Pelodiscus sinensis: one gene and its partner. Each later gene encodes a partner of the first gene's protein in a complex. Links are inferred from orthologs where the notes say so. Each region holds a gene or a part of one and is shown in the gene's direction. Other genes may lie near its edges. The genes, in order: RAB1B and TBC1D20.

Region 1 (8,776 bases):
CCTGGTGCGCCCCTGCCAGCAATTTGGATACATTTGCATATGGACAATGCCTGTCCCCACCCCAAATATAGATACTTCTATTCATTTCTCATGTCCCTGTCCCCTGTTGTCTCTCCGTTACTGTCACTCCAACCCATGCTGTTGTGAAGCTCCCTCTGATTGGCTACCTTTTCTGGCTGCCTGGGGAAGGGCAGCAAATCAGAGCTGCTGGATATGCTGATGGACTGGAGTAGTCCCACCCGTGTGCCCTCAGTCCTTGTAATGGTCTTGGAAGCTTTCCTTCCTCCCTGTCCCTAACCCTCCAAAGAGCCTGGCTGACCCTCTCCTCTAAACTTTGGGGGGAGGACCCAGTAGCCTCCCCCATCCCGCAGAGGCGTCAGACTATTCAGGAGAGGTGCCCCTGCTCAGGCAGGCCCCGGGAGAACGTATCCATGACTTGGGTAGGGGAGAGCCCAGCAATGGGATTCCCAGGACAGTAGCCCCAGCGTGAGAGCACAGCGGTGGTGCATTGAGAACCGTGCTGGAATTGCAGCAGCATGCTATCGCTTGGGAGGCTGAACACGGGTTCCTGGTTCTGCTTGCAGGCTAGAGGGCTCTGCAGTAAAGCCTACATGCATTTCAGCAGAGTTGGTTTGCAACCAGTCAGCCTACGGCAAAGTGAGGTGAGCTGGACCATTCTGATTTTTAGAGAGCAAGGGGCTTTCTCTCTCGCTAGCTGGGTTGCTATGTTTGTATTGTGATTTCTCAGAAATAATATAGCATTGTGGTTCAGTCGTTCAACAGGAATATGTTGTATTTTGGCTCCTTCTCTGTATTCTATGAAATATCATGGGTGCCAGCCTGGAACTCTGCTATTCCTTGCTATGTTCTTTATGATGCCCCCACATGGACGGCCAGGGCTGGAGTAGCCAGAAGTCCCCTCACCCTGTGGGTCAGGCCCCACAGTTCCTACTTCATACCCTATAGCACTCACTGCTAGGAGAAGCTGGGAGCTCCTCAGCCAGCTCCCCCTACCCCGAGTGTTTCCTGCAGGAGTATCCTAGAGTGGAGTAGCCCAGAGCTTCCCCCATGCTGTGAGTGCTCCTCACTGGGAGAAGCAGGCTGTGGAATGGTCAGGGAGGAGCTCCCCGCGTAGCTAGTGCTCCTTTGCTTGTCCTGATAGTGTCATCTGCTAGAAGAGGCCAGGGATGGGGCAATTGTGAGCTGCCCCTGCAGCCAGTGTTCCTGTCCTGCTCCCAACAGTATCTGGACAGACTCTTTCTTCTATACCCCTGCTCTGGATGTGCCCGATGGACCCTTCTAGTGGGACAACTATATGTGTCAGGGGTATTTATTGCATAGAGTATGGTGCTCTTGAGCATCTAAAACGCTGTCCACATGGGGGGCTGCATGAGATCCCCGAGGATTATAGATGAACAGACAAAATCTATCACCCAAGCCAGCGGGCACTGCTCCCCATCATTTCTGCAGCCAGCCTCATAATTAAGTTCTAGATCAGGGCAGGGCAAGATGTAGCCCCGGGGCCTGATCCAGCCCGCCTAACGCTTTGATCCGGCCCCCGAACTGCATCTGGCTGCTCTCTATTTATATCCTGTTGCCTGTGCCACTGAATTTCCATGTAGAGGCTCAGGCAGCAGGATCCTATTTAAATGGTTCCCTGCTCCAGGTGGCAGTGCTACCCTGGCAGAGGCTGGAGCTGCGAACCTTTTAAATAGCCGCAGCAACCCCAGGCATCTACCAGGCAACGTAGTAGTGGCGGGGCAGGAGCTACAAGCACTTTGCTGTAATTTTAATTCAAAGTTTCTGGCCCCAGACAGTTCTGGGAGGAGGCCAGTCAGGCAAAAGACCGCCTTGGCTTCACCAGGGGATCTTGAATGATCTAAACATCAAAAAGGTGTTGTATAAAAAGTGGGAACTAAGACAAATTACAAAGGATGAATATAAGCAAAGAATACAGGAATGCAGGGGCAAGATTAGAAAGGCCTAATCAACGCAGAGTAGAGCGGAAGAATGACTTCTCATGTCTTGCTCACAACACTCCTTGTTATTGCATCCCAGAATCACGTTTGCTTTTTTTGCAACAGCGTCACACTGTTGACTCATATTTATCTTGTAGTCCACTATAACCCCTAGATCCCTTTCTGCAGTACTCCTTCCTAGACAGTCACTTCCCATTCTGTATGCGTGACACAGATTTTTCCTTCCTAAGTGGAGTACTTTGTATTTGTCCTTATTAAACTTCATCCTATTTACCTCAGGCCATTTCTCCAGTTTCTCAAGATCATTTTGAATTATGACCCTAGCCTCCAAAGCAGTTGCAACTAAGGATGTTAATGACTAGTTGACTAGTCGATTCCGCCCCCCACTTGCTGCTTCTATCAGAGGCAGCAAAGTGAGGGGAAAGAGGGAGTATTTCAAAGTGGCGGTGCCTCACAGCTGACCCCCTGCTCAGCAATGTGGTGCTGCCCCTTTGAAACGCCACCTCAGTGTTTCAAAGTGGCAGCTGCTGTATGGTGCCTGCGGTCAGCTGGGGACTCCCCAGGTGACTCTGGTCTCTACGTGGCATTTCAAAGTGGAAGCACCCTTATGGAGCCTGGAATCAGTGGGGGACTCTGAGTCCCATCCTGGGGACTCTTGTACATTTCAAAGCTGGCATGCCCACGTTCAGCCCAGAATTAGCAGGACTTCCTGCTGGACCCGGGCTGCACGCAAAGTTCTGCATTCCTCATTTCAAAGGAGGAATGCGGAAGTGCCTATTGACTAGTGAATTTACTACTTGACTAGTGAATTAACTGATATTTAACATCCTTAGTTGCAACCCCTCCCCGCTTCGTATCATCTGCAAACTTAATAAGCATACTCTCTATGCCAATACCTAAATCGTCGATGAAGATATTGAACAGAACCGGTCCAAAACAGACCTCTGTGAAGCCCCACTTGTTTTTCCAGCAGGATTGTGTACCGTTAATAACTACTCTCTAAGAATGGTTATCCAGCCAGTTATGCACCCACCTTATACTAGCCCCAACTAAGTTGTATTTGCCTAGTTTACTGATAAGATCATGCGATACTGTATCAAATGCCTTGCTAAAGTTTAGGTATACCACGTCCACCGCTTGTCCCTTATCCACAAAACTCGTTATCCTACCAAAGAAAACTATCAGATTGGTTTGACATGATTTGTTCTTTACAAATCCATGCTGGCTGTTACCTATCACTTTATTATCTTTCAGGTGTTTGCAGATGAATTCCTTAATTACTTGCTCCAATATCTTCCCTGGCACAGAAGTTAAGCTGACTGGTCTATAGTTTCCTGGGTTGTTCTTATTTCCCTTTTTATAGAAGGGCACTAATTTGCCCTTTTCCAGTCTTCCATGATTTTTCAAAGATGATAGCTAAGGACTCAGATACCTCCTCTATGAGCTCCATTTCATCAGGCCCTGGTGACTTGAAGACATCTCACTTTTCTAAGTGATTTTTAACTTGTTTTTTTTTAATCTTCTAAACCTACCCCATTCCCCTAGTATTCACTATGTTAGACATTCCTTCATCATCAGACTTCTTGGTGAATACCGAAACAAAGACGTCATTAAGCACCTCTGCCATTTCCAAGTTTCCTGTTACTGTTTCTCTCTCCTCACTGAGCAATGGGCACCACATTTCAGGAAAGATGTGGAGAAATTGGAGGTCCAGAGAAGAGCAACAAGAATGATTAAAGAGCTAAAGAACATGAGCTATGAAGGAAGACTGAAAGAATTGGGCTTGTTTAGTTAGGAAAGGAGAAGACTGAGAGGGGACATGATAGCGGTTTTCAGGTATCTAAAAAGGTGTCACAAGGAGGAGGGAGAAAAATTGTTCTCTTAGCCTCTGAGGACAGGACAAGAAGCAATGGGTTTAAACTGCAGCAAGGGAGGTTTAGGTTGGACATTAGGAAAAACTTCCTGTCAGGGTGGTTAAACACTGGAATAAATTGCCTAGGGAGGTTATGAAATCTCCATCTCTGGAGATATTTAAGAGCAGGTTAGATAGACATCTCTCAGGGATGGTCTAGATGGTACGGGTCCTGCTGTGAGGCCAGAGGACTGGACTCAATTACCTCTCGAGGTCCCTTACAGTTCTAGAGTTCTAGGATTCCCCAGCCCCACCCCTTCCGCCCAAGCCCCATCTCTTCCAGGTGTGGAGCATGGCCGTGACCATATACCAAAATTTCCTTAAGTGCCCCCCCCCCGGTCAAAATTATTGCCCACGACTGTACTAAATGCAGGTCCTGTTCTGTAGCACTGGGTTGCACATAACCCTAAGAACGGGGCATTTGAAAGATGGATTGGGAGTGTCACTTTCCCCTGTCCCGTGATGCAAGCACAAGAATGTGTTTCACTGAAATTAGCTTTAGAGGCAAATGCAACACAGGCTAAAGGTAACGGTGACCCATGCAACCAGTGGTTTACTTGTGCACCTCTAGAGTCCTAATTCCTGGTTATAACCGCTAGACCCTCTCCCCTCCCAGAGCTGGGGCTAGAACCCAAAAGTCCTGGTCCCAACCCTGGTGCTCTGTAGCTCATGGGTTCTGAAGTTAGCTTGATCTGGTGAAGAAACTACAGGGCCCAGGGGCTTTTGCGGCTGTAGGCTTAAGTGAAAGAGACACTGAGCGTCCGGCAAAAAAACTACATATCCCGTCAGGGATTGCGTGCCTGACGCAAAGGGCGGAGCATCTGGACGTAGCGCGCGTGAAGCCTGGGCACGAGAAACCACGCCTTTGATGAGGTCATGAGTTCAGCTGCGGAGGAAAGGGGCGTGGCCAAGCGCAAGCGGAGATACTACATATCCCATGGTGCCGGGGGGCTGTACTCCGCACTTGCGCATTGGTAGAGCCACCCCTTAGAGGGGAGGGGGAAGGACCGAAAGGGGGGAAGCCGCAGGCCGCCGCCATCTTGTGAGTGAGGAGGAGCCGAAACCATCGCGGGGGCGCCGCCATGAACCCCGAGTAGTGAGTGCGAGGGCAGGGGCGGGACCGGGACCCCCGTGCCTCAGGCGGGCTGAAGCCCCTCGCGGCAGCTTCCCTCACCCCGGCTAGGACCCCGGAGCCGCCCGCCCTCACATCCCCGTGGCCCCGCCCCTGCTGCCCTTCCGTGCCTGCGGGGCGCCCCCCGGCCGGGACCCCCGCCTCCTCTGCCCGGCCCGCCCTGGAGCTGCCCCGTCACGGGCCCGTCAGTTCCCCTCTCGGCCCCCCAGCGCCGGGTGGGGGCGGGGGAGACCGCTCCAGGGGAGAGCGGCCCCGGGAAGCGCAGCTCCCTGCGGGGTGGCTCCGTCTGCCCCAGCGCCTGCCGAGAGGCGGTCGGGGGGGGATCGGGCCCGTGGTCGCGGCGCGTCACAAAGGCCTGGGGGTGGGTGGTTCTGTCCCAGGGTGGCGGGGGGGGGGGGTTCTGTCCCAGGGTGGCGGGGGGGGGGGGGGTTCTGTCCCAGGGTGGGCAGGGTTACTCCGAGAACACGCTCGCCACCCGCCCTCCTTGCGGCCCGGGGTAGCAGGCGCGCTCCAGCGGCAACCAGGCTGGGGGCAGCAGAGCGGGGCTACGTGTGTAAATGAGACCCGAGCCACTGGCCCATGGACAGGGAGTCTCTGAGCTGGGTGCCCCGTGTCTAGGTTGGTGGCCTAATCAACGGCGCCAGCCTTTCTCTCAAGGGCTGATGTGTCTGCGCCCATTCAGGCCTTGGCAGAGGGTTGCATTTGCCCATTGCCCTCCTGTAACCTGGGGGGCTTCACCCCATGTGTTTCGGGGGGTGGGCTTTCCACCACAGGGGGGTGCCCTTACAAACTGTTGCATTTCGATGCAATGCTTTTGGACTTGAACCTTCCTCTCTGTGGTGATGGCTATACACCACAGCATCTTGTTTTAATGAAAGGGACCCACTGCTAATTATCATAGCTGCTTCTCAGTAGTAGAGGGGAAGAGTCCAGTTTGTGATTCACAGGCCTGCTTTAAATCCTCCACTGCTGCTTCCACTGCAAGGGATGTGGAATGCCCTTCCTACTAGACCAGGGCTACTGAACACGTGTCCTATTTGCTTGAGGCCCACGGTGTGGTTTTGGTTTACGTGGGGCTCAACATGTGGCTTGTGGGTGGGATCCTTTGAACATGGCCTCTACTGAGAACACACTTCCCAACAGTGGGGCATCTCCCAGTTGGGGTGAGCACTGAAAGACGCAACTGGACAGGCTGGTTGGAACAGATGGGTACAGGGTGTCGGCATTTCTAGCCTCCAGAGAGGAGGTGCTGTGAGCCCCAGGGCATTGTGAAAAGTGTCTTGTACTCATGCCCGTCAGTGTGAACGAAGCTGTTTGCATATATTTACGTGTGTGTGTATATACAACCACACTTAAGTTGCAGCCCTCAGCATGTGCTTTGAGGCATTGTCGTCGTCGTCCCCCACCCCCCGCTTCCAAAGTTGAGTAGCCCTGCACTAGACTGACCTGCACTGACTGAAGTGGGAAGTGCTCTGACTGCTTCCAGAACTTGTTTGTGACTGTCGTTCTGGGGCCCTTGAGAGAGCTCAGGAATGGCCTTTTTGGAGCCACATCAAAGTGGGCACATAGGGAAGCTGATTCTTGCTAGCTGTTGGGAGACCTGGGCAGAAGGCCTTGTCCAAATTGCTTGCTTGCTGGAGGAAGGCGGTGAAAGCAATAGCAACTCAGATGGCTCTGGGGGTCTGGCCCTGATCAGATTAAGCTAGGAGTGTGGCCTCTCTGAGCAGCCGTTTAGTACTAATGGCAGGTGGCTTTGTGAGTGAGAGGAGCTTTCTGGGAAAGAAAATGTCCATCAGACTGGCAGAACTCCCTATTGAATTGTTGGGGCACACCAGATCCTTCCCCTACTTCTCAAGTGTGCTGGCTGCCTTTCTGAATGCAGCTGCCCTCAAACTTTTCATAGCAGCTTGTCAGAGCCAAGATCTGGCACTCTGGTTCCTGTGATTCTGCCTTTCAAATAAGAATCTGATCTCATGGAGCCCAATGCCCTTTTTCTTCTCAGCCATTCTTGGGCCATTCTATTTTGTTACCGTAAGACCCCTCTCTCTGCAGTTTCAAATGGATACAGGATTGTGCTCTTGCTAGTAGCTTTGTTGGCTGTTTAACAGTTGCTATTTCCCACCCCAGAAGTGGCTGCTTTACAGGTGTGGGTGAAGTGTCTGAAATGCATGAAGATGGCTATGGCAGGGAAGGGCAACATAGGGGCCCGATATGGCCCCTGGCTTGCCTGGATCCAGCCCCTGAGGCTCAGGGCTCCTCCCCAGCACTGGGGAGTCAGCATTGGTGTGCCAGCTCCTCCCCTTGTGCCACCCCCCCCCCCCCCAGCTATCCCTACATGGGGCTGGAGCACAGAGTCTACTAGTGTAGTGCTCCCTCCCTTCCTCCCCCCCAGGTTCTGGTGTGTGAGGTGAATGTGGAGAATGTCTTTATTCTTCTCAATCAGGGGCTGCTTCAGTGAGGGTTTTGGTGTGTTACTTTTCATTTGTGTGCAGCCCCTGACTGACTCTTTTTCTGTGGGTCAGCAGCTCCTGACCTAAAAATAGTTCCCCACCCCTGAGGCTATTGTGTGAAAGGCACCAGGAGTATGGAAACTCCAGAAATAGTGGGTGGGGTTTGGGCAGTCTCAAACTGAACCAGCATTTGTTTGCTGAATTTTTGACCTGTAGGGGTGCATTTTCTTGGCTAACTAGTCGTGCTCCCCCATTGAAGTCAGGTTGGGACCATCCCAAAACCTCTATCTATGCATGTTGAATCAAAGGGAAAGTGACAGGAGTTAGCATGAGTCAGGGCTTCCTGTCCTCTTGCCACTAGCAAAACACACTCAGGAAATGGGGTGTGTGTGCATTGCCTACTGTCAGTTTAACTTGCTTGTGTGCCCAGGCTAGTTGGGCCAGTGAGGGATGATGCAGCTGGCATGGTGAGCTACATTGGCCTGTTGATTGTTACATCAAGCCCTCCTATGCCAGAAGCAATCAAATGCCTGATGATTGATTGTACTAATCCCACATGAATCCTTGGAAGTATCGGGGGATGGTGCAAAAGATTCTAGGGCAACTTGAAGCAGCAGCACTTGAAAGGCAGCGTGCATATATCTGGTAATCATGGAAAGGTTTGTTCGTCTTGCAGCAGCATCAAACTGGTGGTGATGGAGATTTGTTACACACCCTGTGGCTGGACTTAGTGCTCAAAGCCTGGCATCCTGCTGTGAAACTACAACATTGGCTATGCCTTGGCCTCTTTGCTCAGTGCCCATACAGGCCTGCCATGGGGTTTGAACATCCTGGGGAACTCTTCTGTAAGAGCGTCCATTACCTTCCCTTGCCTTAAGGGAAGCTACAGCTCAGCACTAGGAGAGGGGTACAAGTGTAAACCTGTGACCCACCCTCCCAGGCAAGCTGTATGTCAGTGCTGGGCAACTGGTCCCTGTATCAGCAACAGCTGTATCTTAGTGGCACCTTCTGAGTAGAGTTCTTGGGTCACAAGCACTAGGGACCTCTGACTCTTTCCAGTGCAGTGGTGACAGTGCTCGTGCCTGCCTGTTGTGTGGGGAAACTAAGAAGTGTACTGACAGCATGATGGCAGGAGCAGGATCCAAGGGAGATGTTGTCATGATAGGTGCTGAAGGGCACTACTGATGGTCTGGGTAGGGATGTCAACATGTGGACTATCACCATACAATTAACCAATAAGTCTAGACTTATTGGTTAATTTTGTCCCCCAGCATTGGCTCCGCAGTGCTGCCTGCCCCCTCAG
Region 2 (9,227 bases), on another chromosome or scaffold:
ATAGGTGTGATCTATCTGATCCTTCATAGAACCTGTGGAGGAGTTGTCACTGAATTTGAGAGAATATTATTCCGCCTGTCATAATATGAACATCTAATTGTTCTTCTTTTCATTTCTACACTGCTACTATACTCCCCCACTACTTTAAGCTAAACCCTCCTTGCTACATGCAACTTCTGTTAGAATTAGCCATAGATACACACAGTGGGGGGGGGAGGGGGAGGCCTTGGTTAACATGTGCTCTAACAAATCATAAGCATATTTTTCCTCTTCTGGATTTTTGTTCACATTAAGTATTGCTGTAAAGAATGTAAGGTGAATGTGAGCACTAATTCATAGAACTGAAAGAGACCTCAGAAGGCCATCAAGTCCAGCCCCCTGCTCAAGGCAGGAAGCTCCCTGTTTCAGGGCTGGGTCCTTCAGTGCCTGCTTTACATAATTCAACCTGGAAATTGATAACAGTAGCTTGAGGTCTGTCATCTACCTACTCCTACTAGAAAACAGCCTTGTTTCCCAGAACAAACTAGTTGAGTCTTCCTCTGATTATGGATATCATCTTCCTGGCTTTGAGATCAGTTTCTCCACGACTGTGTCTACACTGGGCCAGTTATTCCAGAAAATCAGCCGCTTTTCCGGAATAAGCTGCGAGCTGTCTACACTGGCCCTTGAATTTCTGGAAAAGTAACGACGCTCTACTGTACAAAATCAGCCGCTATTCCGGAAAAACTATTCTGCTCCTGCTCGGGCATAAGTCCTTATTCCGGAACACTGTTCCGGAAAAGGGCCTGTGTGGACAGCCCAGTAGTCTTTTCTGGAAAAAAGCCCCGATCGCGAAAATGACAATCGGGGCTTTTTTCCGGAAAAGCGCATCTACGTTGGCCACAGACGCTTTTCCAGGAAAAGGGCTTTTCCGGAAAAGCAGCCTGCCAATGTAGACGCTCCTTTTCCGGAAAAACTGAAAACGGAATAGTATTCCGTTTTAAGCAGTTCTAGAAATTCATGCCAGTGTAGACACAGCCCACGTGTCTGGCCAGTGTTAAAAAATCTGTTTTCCAAAGGCCTGTGAGCTGCCCTTCATGTCTGTCTCCTGAAACTCTGCTAGTCGAGCTTGCTCTGCCCCGCGCAGCCTGCAGAACATTTGCTTTCTGTCCACATGCGCGCACCCCCTCCCCGCTGTGGCTGCAGGTGCTAGTTTGGGCTAGTCTAAGTCTGGCACCAGCTGGGCAAAGCTCTGTCTCTGTCACCCCTTCTGCCCCCCCCCCCCCCCCGGTGCAAGCTGGGGGGGGGAGGGTCTCCCCGCCGTCCGCTAGCCCTGCAGGGATGCAGAAAGCAGCGCTGGCTGCGGCCAGGGCCATGCACGTGCGGGCTGGAGCTGGCCGGCGCGTGCTCCTCCCCCGCCCGGCACGCGCCGTTTCAAGCTGGAGCCGGCGCTGCGCGGCGGCAGGAGCATTGCAGGGGAGGGGCGGGTCCCGGGCTGGAGGAGCGGCGCGCGCATCTGCCTTCTCTTCCCCGCCCCCCCCAGCCCGGAGGCGGTGTCAGCCCGAGGCGCACGCGCAAAATGGCTTCGTTCTGCTCGCCGCGGTGACGTAGGACGTAGGGCGCGCGCGCGGAGGCGGGGCGGAGCTCGGGGCAGGAAGCGGAGCCGGGCCCCGCCCGGCCGGGATGCGCCGCGGCTCCCGGAGACCATGTCCCTGCGCAGGCCGGCGCCGCCGCACGGTACGGGCCGGGCCCAGCGGGGGGGGGACCCGGGCCCCGAGCCGCCAGCCCCGCCCCCCGCCGGGGCCCCTCGAGCGTTGCGGCGGTTTCTGGCGGGGGGGGGGGCGGTGTTAACGCCCGGGGGGCGGGGCTCCGGGTGCCCTGGCGCTGCGGCGGGGGCGGGGCTTCGTGACCCGCTGCGGGGGGGTGGATCCCTCGAACCTGTTCCCATCCCTGTGCGGAATAAATTTTGTGCGGTGCACCGGGGCCCGCGCGGCGGTGCACCCCCGGGAGGGAGGCTGCGGGCGCTCTGTTGATCCGAGGGGCGGCGTTTGACTCTCGTGGGCAGCCACCCCAGCTGACAGGCCGCGCTGGGGGTACCCCCAGGGGTCGTGCCTGTTGGTCCCAGAACTAGGCGCAGATCCTGGGGGCGCAGGGCCGGACTGTGATGATCCCGGGAAAGGGTCAGTGGCCTTCCAAAGCGTTTTTAGAAAGCAAATCGCACTCTGCCAATAGGTAGTAGCAGAGCTGCTGCCTTCCTCCAGTCACCCCTCTTCTTCCCTTCCTGCTGTCGGCTGCCTTCCATTTACCTCCAGCCAGACTCTGGGGCTCATGTGTTTGTCCACCCCCTACCACCATAGGGCCCCGCTCTCGTGTGCTTCTGAAACACAAAAAATGCACCTTTCGCGTCATAGCAGTGCCGTTGGCCCAGTCTTGCTGCTGTGCCCATGCTTATCTTAAAGCGCCTGAGTCCTCCCAATGAGTGTTTAGCAGAAAAGCAAGTCAAAGAGGGAAGGCTTAGTTTTGTGTCTTGACAAGCGGAACGTAATTCTTCTTCCATTGCCTGGGATCTGCGGGCTCAGCGACTGGTTTGAATGTGGGTCTGGAAGCTCTGTTCTCGGTAGGGCATGGGACAGTTCCTTTAGAAGTCTTTGAGCCTCAGTTTTCTCATCTGTAAAATGAGAGAATATTTGCTGCCTTCATAGGAGGGCTGCAGTCTTTACAAAGTGTTACTTACACGTTCAATATTATCACTGGGGAGCCAGTGCCGTCTCTTTCCTCGTACCATTGAAATGTAGAGTTCTGCAGCATAATTGCTGAAATCAGAAACTGGAACATGTGACCCTCTCTATGTAGGCCTTCAGCAGCCTTGGTGATCATCTGCATCTTTGTTTTATGTCTTTATTTAGCTGTTGGAAAGAGAGCATCTGTCCCAGGCTCTTTAGTCCTGGACATAAAACAAAATCCACTAGCCAGCTGAGCCTTATTTTTATGGAGGACCAGGAATTACTTGTATAATAAAACCCATCTCATCCCTGTGGCTGCACGTTTCTCTCGAAGAGGGTGTTGGTGATTGATACTTGCTGGGGACTTGAGTAGAAGTTGGTGGTGGATCAAAAACATGTTTGACAACATGCATTCTTTCCACCCCCACACAACGGTTCTTGATGTTCATGCTGGTAAAAGTTAAAAATAATTGAATGTGGGGGAGGCCAGTGCAGCACATATTTTCTTTCCTTGGTGTTGCTGCTTAAATTCTTTTAGTATAAAACAGGAGCTTTCTCTTTTGTAAGCTTTCTCTCCTCCTCTTCCTTGATTCATTCACTGGGTGCCAATCCCATGTTTGTGCTGACATTCAAGCGTTAGGCAGTAACTGAGTAGAAAAAAGGTAACTTCTTGGTTGTGCGGCCAAAAGAAGGAAATACATGGATACTAGAACTGCTGGGTGTGGTTTTGATAACTTTCTCTGCCTATTGACATCAGGAGACTTGTTTCTTATAAGGGAGCTGCAGTCCTGTCAAAAACTAAACAGAACTTGGTTGAAAAACAAGCTATACAAAAAAGTGAGTTTTGAAAGGGGGGCTGTTTAGATGGGTCCCATCCACAACTTGACCTCCTTGCTTGTTTGCAGGTGTTTGAAAATCCTGTCATGCTCATTTCTCTCCTTCAGAGACTTCAGAACATAATGTGCTAAACTGAGCACTCTGGAGTAGCTCTCCAGTAGCAAACAAGTGTGCATGAGCAGGGGGCAGGAAACACCTCTGGTGTCAAATGTTCAATGGGCTACTGTAAACTTCAGTCAGTGAAATCACGGTAGGAAAATGAACAGATTTCTCCATTAGGCCAGTTTCAGATCCCCCTCCCCCCATAAAAAAAATCCCATCCTGACTGACTTAATATGAATTGAATACAGTTCAAATCAAAAGGGCCTTATAATGGATTGTGAGAGGGGTTTTGACTGAAGCTGCAAAAACAGGATCCTGTTGGAAAAGTTTCTGAAGGCAGGCTGGATCTCAAACAAAACCTTCACACATACAGAAGGATTTTGCTGCCAAAGTGTATGGAAATCAGCTGATTCTCAGCTGCCTGCCTTTTCCCAAATATAGAATAGTGCTGGCAAGGAACCCACTGAAAATATGGCTGTGCTGGAATCTGCTCTAAGGAAAGATTTCTGTATCCTGTATCTGTTCAGTCCATGCGTTATGTGTCGTCCTTTTCCCCGCCTCGTGTCCTTAAAGATCAAATGTCTTACGAAGGCATCATTGTGTATTTGCTGGATAGTGCTTAGCCCTGACATTTCACTTTACAAATATTAATTTGACCAGTCCTAGCAACACGGGGGGGGGGGGAGGGGGGGGCGGCTATGATCTGTATGAAAATGGAGTATAATTCTAATGTAAATAAGGTCCCCTGAGTGCATAGGGCAGCATGGGGAAATTTTCAGTTAGGTGGTATTTCTAGGTACCGATTTGGTGGGGCAAGCTCAACCGAACAATACTAGAGTCTAGTTGCCAGCCAGTAGGAACACAGACTGCGCCCCAGTCTTGTAAAACTTTTGACCTCTCAGCTGGAAGCTGAGCCATCCAGGCCATGAAGGCAAACAGTTGTAAGTGACTTTGAATAGTAACTACTGCATCCGGTGCAGTGGCAGTTCTGTTGACACCATGTTTGAATTGAAGGACAAGAAAGTCCTGGTAGCATTAGCGATTGCAATAGGCACTACAGTTCTGCAGATGCAAGCAGAGAGATCTCGCAGGGGGCTGGGAAGGAACTTCAGAGCTGGTAGAAGGGAGGAGGCGCAGTGAAAGTGCCTCTGTTCTGCCTGGCCATTGGTCAAGATGCTTTGGTATCCATTGATGATGGGTTCTATATAATCTGGCCCTGAAGAAACAGAGTGAATCATCTCTTAGGCCTCTCCCATCTCTAGACAGAGTGACCCAATGTGTGTGTTCAATCAGTTGTCTTATATAGTCTTTGCATTGTGAGCTAAGTCAGTCTGTGCCTTCCTTTTGCATGCTGGCCAGTAGCTGGAAGCCTAACCCTTTGGGTGGTGTGCCTCTTGCAGACTATAATTCTAAGAAGCAAAGGAAAGTAGCGGAGATTTATCAGGCCCTGAACAGCGACCCTATTGATGTGGCTGCACTCAGACGAATGGCAATCAGCGAAGGGGGTCTCCTGACAGACGAGATTCGTTGCAAAGTGTGGCCAAATCTTCTCAATGTGAAGACAGAGGATCTGCCGCCTCCGCCAGGTACAGAGTCGCCCGTTGTGCTTTGGGACCAACTTGAGAGATCTTTGTACGTACTTGGGGCTGGAGTTCTGCTGTTTGTAACTTGTGGGGTTTTTCCTGTCAACGAAGATGCCTTTTCCATGATGCTTGCTTGAGAGTCACAATTGCACAGACTGATGCCCGTGGTTTTACCTGTGTTAACGTATTTAATTATGCTAATAGCAGATCCAGGAATTACCTGAATTTATTATTTTTCCATTGCACTGTAAGAGCCCTTTTACTTTTAGGCCACATTGTGTGGAACACAGCTGGTGCAATCCGGTGTGATTAGCTTCCAAAATGCATGTTAGTTAAACCAAAAAAATGCCACGTTGCAAATATATCTAGTTTAACTTCCATTGTCATAAATGGGAGCGTGGTTTCTTGAATACTAAATGGAAGTTCCTATCCCAGGCATGGGTGAAGCAGTGGCCAAATTACTGTAAATTGAAGCTTGTACATAGAAGAAGTCACATCTGAGGGAAGGAAAACTTGCTTTTTAATGAGACACAGACATGGAGGCTGTATTCCCTGTAAGCTGAGTGCCTGAGTAGTCACCCAAGAAAGATTCAGATGCCGCCCAGCTGATTAGCAGAACGCCCACAGCCGAACCATGTGTTTCTAATGGTGGTGCACAGTTGCACCTGCCTTGGTGCACAGAACAAAATTTATTCCACGCAGGAATGGAAAAAAGAGGGAACACTGAATGGAGGCGTTCCATATGTGGTGTTTTTTATTTCCACTGCTCCCAGAGCATAAGATGGGTTTTTGTGAGCAGAAGTATCTGTTCAAAAGTGTGTATATTCCTGGTTGTCCTTGGATAGCTATGGTTGCTGTAAAAATGCAGATCAGGAGACCTGGGATTTATGTTCAGCTCCACGCAGCTGCTTGCATGGCTTATGGCATGCTAATGATTTCTTTCCACTTACAGTGCTTTAAATATCTTAACTACCCATGCTTCATTTCACTCAGTTTCTATTTATTAAACGTGTGAGTTGCGGCTGCTCTGTGTCATGTCTTAGCTATATTTTGCCTAACTCCAGTGGCATGGTGATGGAGCAAGAACTTAGCCGAAGGACAAAGGAGAGATGATGTAAGGATCTTGAAACGGTATTTGTACCAAAGAGATTAATGTCTTGGTGTCTGGCTCTGGAACGGCGTACGTTGGTATTGGCCACGCCAGAGTGTACAGCAGTAAAAGGCAGAGCGCTGGGCTTGTGTGTAACAAGTAGAAACGGGGATCTAAAATTGGGTTCAGGAGCAGTTGCGGCCTACGTTTCAGCCTTGACTTGTACAGCGTTCTTCTCTGGCACTGCAGATGCTGCTTGGTGGCCTGCTTGGATTTGCAGTGTGCTTCTTTCTCCATCAGGGAAGGAGCTGCGAGAGGACAATGAAGACTACCAGCAGGTGCTGCTGGACGTGAGGCGATCCCTGCGCCGCTTCCCACCCGGTGAGCTGGTCTCTCTGTTCTGTGGCCACCAGGAGCACCTTGTCCCCCCAGCTCCGTGCAGTGCAGCCTCTCTTCTAGGGCCACAGCAGAGCTGTAGGAGCAACCCTCCAGGGGCCCGCCGAAATGGAAAGGCCTTTCCCCTCTGTTTGCCCAACACCCACTTCAGAGATGGCCTCAGGCTTCTCCTTGCACTGCAGCTGGTTTTCAGCATGTTCTTTCCACACAAAATTCTCATCCGTAACTCGCTGATTCATTCTGCTGGCCCCTCTCTTGCCGTTAAAACTCTCCCTGTATTTAGAGGGGCCTGACTCAGATATAGCCAGCCCTGCCATGTACTGCTGTTCATTCGATGTGACAGTCATGTCTGGTGTTTGAGGGGTTTACCATTGCCTCTGTGTACCTTGGGCAGAGACACATCTGGGTTTGAAACCTGCGTTCGCTACTGATTTAAATGGATTTTGTTTTTTAAGCGTTGCTAAAGTGTGTTCTTTCCAGTGACTCTCATGCATCAGCCTAAAACAACTCTCAACATTTAATGACAAAAGCTTCTTGCATTTGCTTAGTTCCTGTGGTTGGCTGGTGCCTGGTGTTATTTATAGACCCTTTTGCACTCGTCTGACTTTGCAGAGCAGCTGCTTGTTGCTCCTGGGCAGGAATTGGTTTTCACTGCCTGCTTTTTTCTTCCATATAAACAGTCAGCACGTTCAGCTTATCTGTATATTGTGGACACCCTGCAGATCTCTGCAGCTCACGCTTCTGCTAGCACCCTATTGCTCTGGAATGGCCGTATTTTGACAATGCTTAGAGATCTTTGTGTTGTCTGAACCTTGCTTGGGCTTGCGAGATGCTCGTTCCGCCGTGGGGCACCGTATCTACTTATACAGGTCCTGGCCAAAGGGGGTGCGTGTGCTGTTTTCTCTACATGTGGTGTTCTGTTCCACAGATGCATTCTGTCCACACACAGACCCCTGTCTAGAGGTGGGCAGGACAGTGGCGCCTGTGAGTTTTGCACACTCAACAGAGTTTTCACAAAAGAGGATTGTTTTATTTCTTAGGACTTCTGGGATACTAAAAATAATTAATTTAACCTAGGGATGTGAACGACTAGTCACTTTCCCTGTCTTGCTGCCTCTCTCAGAAGGAGGCAGCGGGGGGGGGGGGGGTACTTGAAAGCGGCAGCGTCCCCAGGCGGCATGTGGCATTTCAAAGTGGCAGTGGAGGAGTCCCTAGCTGATCCCAGGCTCCACGGGGTGCTACCACTTTGAAATGCCACGAGGAGCTTGACGTCAAGCTCCCCGCGGCGTTTCAAAGTGGCAGGGCCGCACGGAGCCCGGGGGAATCCCCAGCTGACCTCAGGCTCCATGTGGCACTTTTGCCTTTGAAGTGCAGCAACTTCAGACGCCCTATCGACTAATTGAATAGTTGATGCAAAATGCATTGACTATTTGTTTAGTCAGTTACTCGCAATTTAACATCTTTAATTTAACCTTCAGGATGCTTTACGAACACTAGTAAATACCCCCTTTTTCTTGCAAAGGGAATATTAATGTTCCCATTGTGCAGGTGGAGAAACTGCTGCACAAAAGGTTAAGCAACTCTGCAAAGGCCATTGGGGAGCGGGAGGTCCCGGAACAAGGATGAGAACCCACGAGTTGCTGGTCTCTAGCCCCATGCGCAGGCCACACTCAGATAGGGCCAGTTGATAGCTGTCAGGCCCTGGAGATTGCAGCGTGTCTGCATCCAACGGCTGGTGAGACGTGGCTCCTGTGGGCGGATGATGCAGTACGTGGCAGGCACCTTGTCAGGGCTCCGGCTCAGCCTGATGCAAGGCCCATCTGCTGCTGTCCCCACAGGGATGCCAGATGAGCAGAGGGAAGGGCTCCAGGAAGAGCTGATCGACATCATCCTGCAGGTGTTACAGCGCAACCCGCAGCTGCACTACTACCAGGGCTACCACGACATCGTGGTCACGTTCCTGCTGGTCGTGGGGGAGAGGCTGGCGACGGCTCTCGTGGAAAAGCTTTCGACTCACCACCTCAGGTACGTCAGCGCGGCTCCTGCAAAGCGAGGGGACGAGGGGCTGCCTGCGCCTTCGCTGTCAGTCGCCGCCTGTGGCAGAGAAGCCTTTCCTGCCATTTACACGGGGACTGGAGGGAGAGTGACGACCCTAGAGCCTGAGAAGCAAAGCATGCGCAGCCTGGCTGCTTTTAGCCAACAGTGGTAACAAGGCAAGAGATGCAGGAAAGTGCAGGAGCAGCAGCCTGAATAGCTCTTGGCTTCAGAGCCCTGCCGGGGGGAAGCCGACCTGAATGCACTGTGGGCAAACCCCCCTGTCATAGCCCTCCTGTGGCCACCCCCTCCACGTCACTCCCACGGCTTCCCCCAGGGCGGCCTAACACAGTGATCACTTTTCATGCGGTGCAATGGGCTGTCCTGGACCGGCTCAGTGGTGAGTTCGGCCTGCGAAGGGGGGCAGATCAGAGTCGGGGCGATGGTGTGGCTGCTGGGCTGGAAGCGGCCTCGGCAGTGCGA

Evidence for each region.
Region 2: the proteins of RAB1B (region 1) and TBC1D20 are in contact, whole or in part, in a crystal structure (PDB 4HLQ), measured with the Homo sapiens proteins. The link is inferred for Pelodiscus sinensis from reciprocal best matches to the Homo sapiens genes RAB1B and TBC1D20. Residues at the interface, in NP_112243.1 of Homo sapiens: Ser17, Gly18, Ser36, Tyr37, Ile38, Ser39, Thr40, Ile41, Gly42, Val43, Asp44, Phe45, Gln60, Trp62, Ala65, Gly66, Gln67, Arg69, Phe70, Thr72, Ile73, Tyr77, Glu94; in NP_653229.1 of Homo sapiens: Gln97, Gln98, Leu101, Asp102, Arg104, Arg105, Leu107, Arg108, His141, Tyr142, Tyr143, Gln144, Gly145, His147, Asp148, Phe177, Met178, Asp179, Pro180, Thr181, Met182, Lys186, Val212, Ile215, Leu218, Ser219, Thr223, His227, Met272, Ala273.

What each region holds. Positions count from the first base shown.
Region 1 is NC_134721.1:32,065,663-32,074,438, reverse strand, and holds the start of RAB1B (ras-related protein Rab-1B), read left to right. Parts: upstream 1-4,835; 5' UTR 4,836-4,973; coding exon 4,974-4,987; intron 4,988-8,776. UniProt on the Homo sapiens protein: The small GTPases Rab are key regulators of intracellular membrane trafficking, from the formation of transport vesicles to their fusion with membranes.
Region 2 is NC_134728.1:2,049,201-2,058,427, reverse strand, and holds the start of TBC1D20 (TBC1 domain family member 20), read left to right. Parts: upstream 1-4,974; 5' UTR 4,975-4,989; coding exon 4,990-5,227; intron 5,228-6,614; coding exon 6,615-6,695; intron 6,696-8,548; coding exon 8,549-8,735; intron 8,736-9,227. UniProt on the Homo sapiens protein: GTPase-activating protein (GAP) specific for Rab1 and Rab2 small GTPase families for which it can accelerate the intrinsic GTP hydrolysis rate by more than five orders of magnitude. Also shows GAP activity for RAB18 GTPase.